4 linked regions of the Drosophila melanogaster genome follow. The protein of the gene in region 4 interacts with the protein of the main gene of each other region in a pairwise test. Each region holds a gene or a part of one and is shown on either strand. Other genes may lie near its edges. The genes, in order: Cpr60D, IM33, CG17107 and Tim17b2.

Region 1 (3,119 bases), on a different chromosome or scaffold from region 4:
CTTGGGTGCTTCCCGAGCTGATTGGATGACCTGAAAACAGAAGTGATTAGGAGAGGTCTAAATAAAGCATGCCGAGAAATTACCTTGGCCCTCGAGAAGTATCCATAGGAGGGACGATCCCAGTCGAAGTTATCTTTGATACACTTGTCGAACACTCCCTGGGTCTTGCGGCAACTAAAGTATGGATGGACATTGGTATAGCATGATTGGAATATTCAACATTTACGGAGTGCTTACTGTGAAAAAGCCATAGTACCGCTGCTCTTATCCAGGCAGGTGGCGTACTGCGTGAACTCCTCATGGCAGGTCTTCTTCACCTTGCGGAAGAAGTCCAGGGCGCAGCTGGTCACGGCTTTGCCCTCCGCCAAACAGGCTCGCGGGTCATCCAGCTCCTGCCGGCACAGCATAAACTCCTGAAATTACACGAAGGAAAAGGTAAACAAACGGGGAAGGTGCTTTTTGAGGTTAGGTTATATAACTAAGCCGCTCGGATTTTAAAGAGGCAGCGGCTCCCAGCTTCACTTTAAGGCGCTTTTCACCTAAGCATTACTATCAGGAGGATTCCCCTGCAATCTGGATGTACTAACATTATTGGCCTGCTCGCATTGCTTGCCCAAATGGAAGGCGCCTGCCCGTAAGGCCGCCGACGATAGATTTAGCTCCTGGACGTTCAGCTCCGACTCCTCGGGCAGTGTTGTGTTGTTGGTGATGACCATAATAGCGTTGCAGTCCTGTGCGATCAACCAAAAACCTGAAAGGCTATGAAATTCAATAAAAAACAAAATAATTGTAGGATTTTGTTAATTTTACGTTTGCTTACAACACAACAGCTGATTTAGATCCAGGGCTGCTGAGACGTAGCTGTCAATAACAATTTATATCGATAGTGTAGCCGTTTCACAAAGTCATCGATAACAGGCTCACAATTTAAATTAAAATGATTTCTTTAATCTTATACATCTGTCTATTTTATAGTGCTGCAGCTGATCGCAATTTAAAAGTAGTTAAGTATGAGAATTCGGTTGACACCATTGTTAAGAACCTCATCGACAACTGGCAGTCGCCGCTAGTTTACCTGAAAAGCCGCGGCTACCTGCCGAAGGATGCGCCCGAAATGGATTTCCAGCAGCTGCAAGGGAACTTGGACCCCAAATTGTCGTTAAACGACTTAGTTGAGCTGAACAAGGATTCCAAGCGGGAGGCGGAAACCAAAAGCCAAGACAATTCCATTGGGCAGATTGATCCGCGGGCAGTCCGATCGCTACAAGATCCCAAGGACCTCGAGCTGAAGAAGATGTTCCAAACGCTGTTCTCTTCGAACGACAAGACTGCCTCCGAGGAGATCAAATCCAAGCTGGGAGTGTCCTGGGATATGAATGCTTTAAAGACATCCGCCCGTTTGGGTGCCAAGAAATATCTCGAGAAGTTCAACAACAAGCGAAATAAGGGGATGTCTCTCTTGCCAATTGAATCCTCAGATGGGACACTTACTAACGAGGCATCTCTAAATTTTTCCTCACTTATACCGCATGCCTTGGAAAAGAAAAGCAACGATTCTGTGAGAAAAACCACTATCAGTAAGCCAAGCTTTCTGAAGGGTGTGGCCAAGATTCTGAGCAATCCAGAAATTAGGTATAGAGACTGGGATTCCAAGCCTGCACAAGAAATCCTTCCGAAGGCCGCGGGCGCATAGTTTTCAAATTCATTGTTGATGATTAAATGTTCTTTTAGTAGCAAAATGGGTTAACAAAATCGCAATCAATTAGTTGGGGGAGGCTGGCCTGCTTCTGGTGCCAGAAGCAGACTCGATTGAGTAGCCGCAAATTTCATATTCATGGCTGTCTGGTTAATCTCAGTCATTTCATTAGCAGATGCGATTGAAACCCGTTTAGTGGGCTAGGCAGCTTCGGAGTATAGTATAAAAGGCCGACGGGCATTGTTTCATTTCAAGAAGCTGCTCCAAAATGCTGAAATATGTGAGTTTAATCGGATTTCAAACAGACTATTGGATAATCAGCCACCTCTCAATTTCAGAGCCTTATCTTTGCCCTTTTCGTCGTTTTGGCCAGCTGCAGTGAGGAGGATCTGCAGGCGCAACTTCTGAAGTCGGAGAACCGCCAGAACCTGGATGGAGCTGGGCAGTTCCAGCATGAGATCACGGTCAGCAATGGGATCCAAGTGAAAGCTCAAGGCAATGTGAACGGCATCCAGGGCGAATACTTCCTTCCCGGCGAAGATGGCAAGCAAATTCGCGTGACTTACACCGCAGATGCAACCGGCTTCCATCCGAAGGTTGAAGAGTGACCGAGTGACTTTGATGTTATGTTAATCTTAACTTATAAAACGGCGGTTTTTTCCATAAAATGAGTGGTGAGGTAATGTCTTGTTGTTCCAATAAAACGTTCCCCTGGTAGAACTCATATTGAGAGCTGTTGGGCTACAGTTCATAGAGCGCTTCAGCATCTTCATCCAAGGGTCTGTCCAATTAGACATTGCGCTTACAGAGCCCCTGAATGGGTCATGTGGAATGATGATGATTTCCTCATCCCACACTGCTGCACAAATAAAAGGTTACCGAACAGCACTCAGCTTTATAATCAATGCCGACAGGCGGCATAAAATACGCATTGTCATCCGCATAATAAGGAACCCAGCGGAAATGGGGCAAAGTGGGGGAACTCACCGGAAGGGAAGCCATTGGGGCTATTGTTAAACGGCAAATTCAAATATGGACTCGCCCATTGTGCGGGGCCATTGGAATATGTTACGGAAATGACAACTTAAATGGGTGCTGCTCCCATTCGGCCCATTCGGCCCATTTCCCATCCGCGTATCCTTGAAAAGCACAATTCTGCATGATGGTTTTATAAATGCAATTGGCTTTATAACAAACAGATATTTAGACAGGAGGGGCTATCTCACAGCTTGGCACTGCCCGCTGGCACTCCGCTCCCGTTGCGCGTGAGTTCCATATCCACCGACGGCTGGTTCACCAATTTCCGGACCACATCGAACTTGGGGTTGTTCTTATCTCGAACCAAGTCGAAGATAACGCTCTCACTAGTGGTGATCACACAGCCCGCTTGACGCAGGCGATCCAGGGCTAGATCTCGATCCTG
Region 2 (2,682 bases), about 12 Mb from region 4:
GCAATTTTGAAAATTACCTAATGATTAGAATCGCAAACGAGCGATTATTAGGAACATTTCTTAACCAGACAGTTTATTCATTTCTTCTGAAGCTCCAAAGCTTACCCCATTCGTTAGATACACAAAAAACTTCAACCGACAGTTAACCAGTTTATAGGTAATTCAGTTAGATTCCCATTCCGCTCGCTAAACGTGATTTGGCTGACTAAAATTGTCACACCGATACGGAAGCCACTTGGAATATGATTTTATGGCCAGCATTATGATTGACTTGCGTTGGTGCGTTGATCTGCAATTGAAGGTTGGGCCGCGAAAGCTTCTCCGAGAGCTGTCAGTGCCAGGTGATATCGATATGGACGTGGATATAGACGTCAGAGAGGCACCGCCGTGATTTACATGCGGCGACGAATCAGTTGGACAAACAAGCTGGCGCTCCGATAAATGAAGTACACAAAAAGAGGCAAAACGGTGGGCAAAAACCCAGTTGAGTGAGTATAGTAGTACGTGAGTTAATCAGTTCGGACGGATAGTATTTAAGCCGCAATATCCGAGCGAGCCGAAATCATTCGCTCATCATCCACTCAACGGACTCGAAATGTGCTTTAGATATAGCTTCAGTTTCATAGTATTCGCGGCTGTTCTGCTCCTGGCAGCCGGAATTCGTGCAGCTCCCTCGGATGTCGTCGTGGAGAAGGCGGAGGAGCCCGCGGTGGCCAAACCCCTGCCTGATGCCAGTGAGCTCACTGTTCCGGAGGACTGTCATCAGCCCAAGGAAACCGGTCGCTGTTTCGCTCTGTTCTATCGCTACGCCTACAACGTGGATACACAATCCTGCGAGGAGTTCGTTTACGGTGGATGTGCCGGCAACAAGAACAACTTCGAATCCAAGGAGCAGTGCGAACAGGCATGTTTGGTAAAGTCTGCGGTTTCCTCCACGGACTCAACAACCGAACAAAACAGCGAAGTGGCCACAGAAACTAGCACCTCGTCTTAAAAAATTGTAGTTCTTAGTTTGTAATTTATTTGTCATCCAACTTCATCAGCCTTTTAAAAGCATTTCTTTACTGAGTTGATTATTTGAATAATTTGATTATAAATTTTAATAAATATACCATTGTGATTTATATATCTATTTCGTTTTATTCGCACATCTGGTACTAGCAGTACAGTATGTAGATACATTTGTAAGTGTCAGAAGTGGTTAGCAGTACATCTCGGAAAGTCATTAATTTCGAAACCCGACGGACTCACAAAAACTTGAGTCATGAATAGACGATTTTAATTAATCTTGGGAACTAAACAGTGTAAACAGTAATTTTGATAAAATATGACTACTTTTATAATGCACTTATATCGCAAAGATTCTGAAAACGAAATGTATAAATATATTATACAAGCAAAAGAGGAAATAAATGAAATTTGGGAAAAAATCGGACAAACCCACTTCCGAATGACAAATCGCTGCCTAATCGTGTTTACTTTATTCAGAACGTAGTTCCTAGATTTATTTGCTATTCCGGCATTATTTTCAGTACAAACACTAGCACTAGCACATAGTACTCGAAGTCTCGTCTGTTTATATACCAAATTCACGAGCACTCGTTAATGAACCGAAAGTTCATGAGCATATAGATAAGATCCCCAGCCAATATGTAGTTCCCATCTGCCGATCGGCATGGCGTATATAACCTAGTGCTACACCTCCGATTTCCATTAGTCGTTCCACGGAAGCTGGGAGATATACATAGTTTTCAAAATCGCAATCAGTATGAAATTCATTGCTGCCGTCTGTTTGATGTTCGCCCTGGTGGCTGTGGCCCTCGGCCTCAAGGATCGTAAGTTGGGAGCTGCTCAGGAAATCGAAACCATTCTAATTCACATTCTCAATCTATTAGCTATCTGTGGACTGCCCGCTGGTATTGATGGCAATGGTCTCATCAAGTGTGCCGCTTTTATACCCAGCTTCAGTTATCATCCCGAAACCAATTCGTGTGAAAAGTTCATCTACGGCGGATGCGGCGGCAATGAGAACCGATTTGGAACCCAGGAGCTCTGCGAACAAAAGTGCAAGGAATAAATTTGACCTCTATGCTCTACAAAATATTCAATAAATGATTTTCGATAAATAACTTTTTGGACGATTCTTTATAACTTACCTCATTTTACATCACATAAAGAAAAAAACAAGGTTCGTTTTGATCGCACTATCGGGCAAAGTTTAAGTTGCTGAATTAATTAAGAGACTAGAAAAAAGTACACCCAGAAAAATTGAGAATTAACCTTCGATTTCGAGACGAAAACGATCTGAATGTTGATATTTTCAGACGGAAGGGAAAGGTTGAAAAACTGAGAGAGGAAGGCAAATGAGAGCAAAGTCATTTGCAATCTGAGTATGGTGAGCATTATTCAATCTTAGCTAGATTTTGGGGTCGAAATTGTCAAATCGAGATGGTTGAAAACGGATTTTTCTCTGAGTGTCTTTTTTTTATTATATTATAGTAAAAAGAGGGGTTCCAACGAACAACTGAAACATTTAAGTGGAATTTTTAAACACTTACGAAATGGACCTATCAAATGAAATGAAATATTTTACGGAGCTTTCGCCATGGCCGTTGTAAGTATGACACTTCCCGTTGTTCCTATCGATAAGAGAACATATCCATAATTACAACACTTGTTGAG
Region 3 (2,677 bases), 4.8 Mb from region 4:
GAATGCAATATAGATTGAAAATGCTCCTTCTATCTGTTTCATACATTCTAATAAGCCTAGCATACCCTATTACTGTACGATTAAGGGGTATAAAACTAGTTTTATTTCGGAAAGGTTTGGCTACCGTAAACGTAGAAACTTATCCAGATGTTGATAATTTGCAAATTTAAATATTGCAAACCCGAGTTTTAAGAAGCTTGACAATATATCAAGAGACGTCGGACTTCATTTGTGAAAAAATATCTTCGATTTATTAGACCTGCTGAAATTGAGTGTGTCACTCCGTAAGTGGCCAAATTCAAGACTTGTTGTGGGTGGCAAATGCAATTACTTAATTACATAAAAAAAGTAATCACACAAAAAAAAAAAACTCACAAATTGTTTGGATTTCCGGGTAAGCTGTACAAACAAATGATGAATGAAATGAGCTTAATGATTTTAAATATAAAAATAAATTAAATTAAAATTGAGATGCACTAACTATTTGCAAAAACTATATATATATAATGCATACTTTTCAGTTGTAATTCAAGTTGTTAGATACATTTTAAAACATAGTTTCTAATATTAGCTCCCGCTGTTAACTTAGTCTGTTTTTAGGAGGCTAGAGAAATCTTGTTTGACGTCATTAGATCTATAAATAATGCCCGACTCATAAACTGGTTATTAACCTAATATACGAAAACAACATCTTGGATTTCCAAAAACAGAATTAGCATTTTAATATTTATTGGTATTGGTATTGGTTTCAGTTTAGTAGGTCTGTCAGCGGACGTGCCCACTTTTCGAGAGTACAGTTATGAATCCGTTTCGAGCCTATCCATGTCTGCCATGTCCACCTCCACCTCCTCCGGAGCTGGCGTTGGCGGTTGCAGTGGCCGAGGCCGAGGCGGAAGCTGGGCCGCCTCCTCTGCTGTCGGCGGTTGCAGCGGCATTCGCGTTGGCAACTGCGTTCGAACCGCCGACTCCACCGACTCCACCGCCTCCACCGCCTCCACCGCGACCACCGCCACCACCGCCTCCACCGAATCCGCCGAATCCACCAGGATGTGCCTGAACGGCCACCAGGGCGAAGATTAGAAAAATGCAGATAGCCAGGAACTTCATCGTTAGAGATTGCGATGTTTTGTGATCGCGTGCTGGCCTCTTTTATACCAGCATCCGTGACAGGTGGACGACTTGTTTATCTGAAAAACAAAAAAAATCACAGAATCGATATTGTATCGGCATATATATGGGGGCTTCGATTAGCACATTAATTAGACATATATTAAAAACGCATGACGTTTAATATTACCTATATGTATAGTATATGCTTATATACTATGTTATCAATAATTGAAAACTGGTTAGCTTTGGCAAGCCATGTTTTGGTAAAGTATATTTTCAGGCTGTAAAAAAGCTCAGATAAATTCATTATGATAATCAGCTATAAAAACTAGTTTATCATGTAAGTCCTTAGATTTGCTTCTGTTTACACATTTTATACAAAATTCCTTTTCCGGTGATTACAACTTTTGAACCCGAAAATTATATATATATTCTTCACTTAATAAATAATAATTAAAAATTAATAAATTTATATTTATAGTATATTATACATAGAAGGTAAGGCCATTGTGTTGATAACGTTTGGCAAAAGTAATAATAGAAAAATGTCTTAGTCTTTATGCAATAATTATGCATTTGTTTATTTTTTAAAGCAATTGCCGTTTCTGGACTGCTGTTATCATCATTCCTTATCCGTAGTAAGCACCCGGACTGTAACCAACTGAGTTTGCGTTTGCATTAGCGTTGGCAGTGGCTACTGCGCCTCCACCACCACCGCCGTAGCTACCGGGTCCGCCGTAGCCACCGAGTCCTCCGTAGCCACCGGGTCCTCCATAGCCACCGGGTCCTCCGAAACCAACGCGTCCTCCTAAGCCGCCAAGTCCTCCCAAGCCACTGAGTCCACCGTGTCCTCCGTGTCCAAAGCCACCGTGTATACCAGGATATCCTTGGACTGCCACAATGGCAAGGAGCAGGATAGCGCAGAGTGCATATAATTTCATCGTGGGATGTCCCACTATCCTGTGTTTTTTTTTTTTCGTATGACAACTTAATTTCCATAATGAAACAAAGAAAGCAAAAATAAGTCTACTTAACTTGTTAACAATGGTTAACTAGAGCTTAAATATATAAGTGGCATAGTTTTCGGCTGTAACAGAAGTTGTTTTTATTTTCTGCGAATGAAGCTTTTATAGCCAGAGCTTACTGTAGCAAGCATACAGTGAGAAATATTTGCGAATCTTTTTGTTTTACAAATCAATCTACTGTAGTAATTTGGGTCATTAAATGTCCAGGATAAATTTATTCATAAGCAAGGAAAATGGAGAGATAGAGAAATTACTTCAATGTTATGATAGAAATAACTAATCTATTAATTTCATTTCTGCAATTGTGGTTACCATCTTAATATATATATTTTTCTTCATCCCGTTAAGCTTATGACTAACTGCCTGATATCGGTACATCCCACGACCTAGAGCTTACTAAGTCAGTTGGCTTAGTAAATAAAGGCCAGTTAAGTGGCCAAAAAAAAAAAAACCCGTATCGCCAAAACCTTCGATCCGCATTCATTCGAACCATATTCAACATGCAGTTTAGCGACTGCCGCTCAAGTTCAAATGGAAATTAG
Region 4 (3,299 bases):
TTGTAGGCGGCGTTTTCCCACGATTTTATAACTGGGCTCGACTTCCCATCTTCCCACCGTCCATGTGTTGCTGGGAAATCGGCGTTGCCTTTGGTTTTTTGCCTTGCGGGGGAAAAGTTCTGATTTGAGTGCGCTCGAGACTTTCCAGCTAGGAGCAGGACATGTGGCCGGTAGCCAGTGCCACTCAGTACCTCACTCAGTCTAATGGCCAGAACACCGCGGTCATCTCGAGTGGACAGGTTGTAAAGTGGCCACACCCGCCGACCGGACACTTGACTCTATGCGCCGGCGCAGCATCGCAGGTAGTCATCTGGAACAGGTAAACATTTGCCAATATCTCACGCTGACCTATGACACGTGTCAGGTGTCTTTGTCGTGGATTCGGGCAAGTGTGAAACAACCTACTACCTGTTGAGGCAATAATGATTATGAATACGAATGAATTAACACGGAGAACGATAAGAGGGCCAATTGCATTTGTTCCTTCTTCCAAAACGAGCTGCAAACGGCAGCTAATTGTATTTTAATAATTATAAATCCGTGTTAAATTGTTTGAAATTTAATAAATTGGTTCCTTTGCAAAAACAGCTTAAATGGAAATACTGCAATTTTGTCCATATTTTATTGTCATCGAATTTTTCAAATGGAATATTGCTAAATCTAGCACTTATGAAAATCAAAAAGGACTACGTATTAATATACCCAGACAAGAAAAATCGGAATTTAGCTAGTTGCAGTGGCCTGCTGAGCACCCGGAAATCCAAATCCGGAAGAGTTGAAGTCACCGTATCCTTCATTGGCATCAGGCATGATATGCGGTTCACGATTTCGGAACTGTTCCGCCGCGAAACGTGTAAAAAATATGCCTAAGCCCTCGATCATTGAGAGCAGTACGCCACCGATAATTGCACTTCCAGCCATGGCCGCCGCTCCATTGCGTGAGGCCAGAATTCCACCAGTAACTGCTCCGCTCACTATCGAGTTCCAGGGATCCTCCTTTTGGCGAAAGTGGACCAGACTGCAGTCCACAATGCTGAACACTGCACCCCAGGCGGCGAAACTTCCACCTATCACCGGAGATTTGGTCTTGATGGCAGCCACACTGCCGGCGACCCTGCGTCCTAGTCCCTGTGGTGCGTTCCGGAATCCCTTGAGTCCCTGGAAGAGCCCGCCTCCAACGCAGCCCATGATAAAGGCTCCTCCGCAGTCGTCGACGATGCGATGGGGACACGGTTCCCGCGAATACTCCTCCATCTTTGCACTTTTCCACTGGCAGGATTTCCTATCACTGGCCGAAATTAAAAACTGAATTTGCTAAATTTCAAGCCTTCTGCTTATTTTCTACAAATGAGTTATATGTGACTTGGCGTCGCTCGATATGTATAAGGAAATTATGAGTTTTGTGTCTGTCAATTCCAGAGTTTGTTGTGAATTGTGCGACTAAGCTTGCTACATACCTAGTAGATTTAAAATCATGGAGAACATGTCCAGGAACTCAAATTTCAAACTACAGGTTGTAAGTAAGAAGTACTTGGTTTTGTTTGTGCCCCCACCAGACACCCATTAGCATATGAACCAGAGTCAGAGCAAACAGAGTCGCACGTGGATCGGGGATCTTTTGCCCCGAAGCTCAATGGCACAAAAAGGTTAAATAGCACAAATGTCGGACCGTAGTTAACCATAAAATTTACTGCCGCAGCTGGACAACTTCGGCTCGAGAATGGGGAGGGGACGGGGGATTGGGATTCGGATTGGGATGGGGATGGGGCCATTCGAAAGACGCAATTCGTACAAAGGCAAAGCCAGACGGTGGGAAACGGAAACAATGAGACCGATTGTCGTCGACCGATAAAGCCAAGCCGAACCAAACCAGAACTCCAGACCCAATACTATTTTATACTGCGTATGTCAAACTACTTCAGGAGGGAAGCTTACGATTGCATGCATAATTATCACGCGAGCATAATCGAAATTTTGAAACTGCCGCAACTGTGTTTGCTTAGCTCGAAAAAGGGGGAAGTCTTCGCATTCGGGCCCTCGATGGATATCTCCGCATAACAAGGTGTCAGACAGCAGTGACAAATGAAAGCGAAACCCCGATCGAAACCGAAATCGATGGGCAGGCATTTAAGTATGAGGGGACACCTGGACACACACGAAGCGCCAGTCCATTGTTCAACAGGACAAATCTCGTCAACTTGACATGTAAATCGTTAGAACGTGTTGCACTCGATTGATTGCTCTCACTCCCGAGAAGGTTATCGGGGATCATTTGACGGGAAATGGCTGCAGGATAAGACATTATATATAATTTGTAAATGTAAATACTGGGCATATTGTTTGCCACTGCTGCGGGATTTCCAATGAAATCTTCATTTCCACGGTAATTGTTGTCGCTTATAAATGATTTAGATGGGATTAGATCGATGTGGTGTTAATGTGGGCACATTATGCGAAAGGATTGGCCATTCCGTTCTAGGACGCGATCCGACCATGGGTTTCCCACGAATTCCGGAGATTCGAGCCTTACAGTTTTCTGGGAAGTCACAGGCCAAATGGAATTGGCCTACTAGCCCATTTAGTAATTTTATTAACATTATTTGTTGTTAAAATACCAACGTATTATGTGAAATTAAAAAAACTGCAGTTGTCTTTGGATACAGAACAATTTAAAACCATATTCAAAATTTTAAGAACAGCATTCTACAACTGTAAATCGAGCTCCACAATGTACGCTACAGAAATGCAGGTTTGGTAATCTATTGTGGCAATGTTTTTTAAAACAATAATGATTATGTAAACAGTAAAAACTCAAAAATTATAATATCGAACAGATATGATCTCTAAAACGGTTCCGTTTTCCATCTTCCGATCTCCGAATGCTCCGTTAGAGGCCAGTGTTTGGGCAGCTGTGATGCAACATTTTGTTATATCTTAAGGAATATGCATCTGCATAACCCACTACAAAGGGAATCCAGAACGGAACTCATTTGCCCGCTCGAAGAGAATCCCTGCACATGCCAAAACGCCAGCCAGAACAAAGGGGGCGAAACAATTGCGGTTGCATTACCCCAGCAGTCCAATTCAAATTCCGACAGCCTCCAGCCGGGCAATGAAATTCAAAAATTCAAAATCAAAGGGCAGGCCTGAGTCGACAAAGGATGTGACTCAGGTAGGACCCCGGGCCTGCCGCCAAAAAAAAAAAAGAAATGCTGAAAAATCTCGAATGGTGCACTATTGTTGTGTCCTGTGCCCTGACTGTGATTACTCGTATTCCGATGTCGATCATAAATGCGGTA

The links.
Region 1: the proteins of Tim17b2 (region 4) and Cpr60D interact in a two-hybrid assay, tested with the Drosophila melanogaster proteins (one large-scale study listed by BioGRID).
Region 2: the proteins of Tim17b2 (region 4) and IM33 interact in a two-hybrid assay, tested with the Drosophila melanogaster proteins (one large-scale study listed by BioGRID).
Region 3: the proteins of Tim17b2 (region 4) and CG17107 interact in a two-hybrid assay, tested with the Drosophila melanogaster proteins (one large-scale study listed by BioGRID).

The regions. Positions count from the first base shown.
Region 1 is NT_033778.4:24,662,148-24,665,266, reverse strand, and holds Cpr60D (cuticular protein 60D), read left to right. Parts: upstream 1-1,946; 5' UTR 1,947-1,964; coding exon 1,965-1,976; intron 1,977-2,034; coding exon 2,035-2,304; 3' UTR 2,305-2,585; downstream 2,586-3,119. Other genes in the region: ND-19 (NADH dehydrogenase (ubiquinone) 19 kDa subunit), read right to left, coding at 1-30, 84-174, 238-413, 588-716; CG30161 (uncharacterized protein), read left to right, coding at 938-1,693; CG3663 (uncharacterized protein), read right to left, coding at 2,919-3,119.
Region 2 is NT_033779.5:3,695,685-3,698,366, reverse strand, and holds IM33 (immune induced molecule 33), read left to right. Parts: upstream 1-1,708; 5' UTR 1,709-1,768; coding exon 1,769-1,835; intron 1,836-1,895; coding exon 1,896-2,077; 3' UTR 2,078-2,149; downstream 2,150-2,682. Other genes in the region: CG3604 (uncharacterized protein), read left to right, coding at 596-994.
Region 3 is NT_033779.5:10,680,421-10,683,097, reverse strand, and holds CG17107 (uncharacterized protein), read right to left. Parts: upstream 1,133-2,677; 5' UTR 1,108-1,132; coding exon 817-1,107; 3' UTR 570-816; downstream 1-569. Other genes in the region: CG17105 (uncharacterized protein), read right to left, coding at 1,740-2,051.
Region 4 is NT_033779.5:15,482,792-15,486,090, reverse strand, and holds Tim17b2 (translocase inner membrane 17), read right to left. Parts: upstream 1,363-3,299; 5' UTR 1,255-1,362; coding exon 724-1,254; 3' UTR 546-723; downstream 1-545.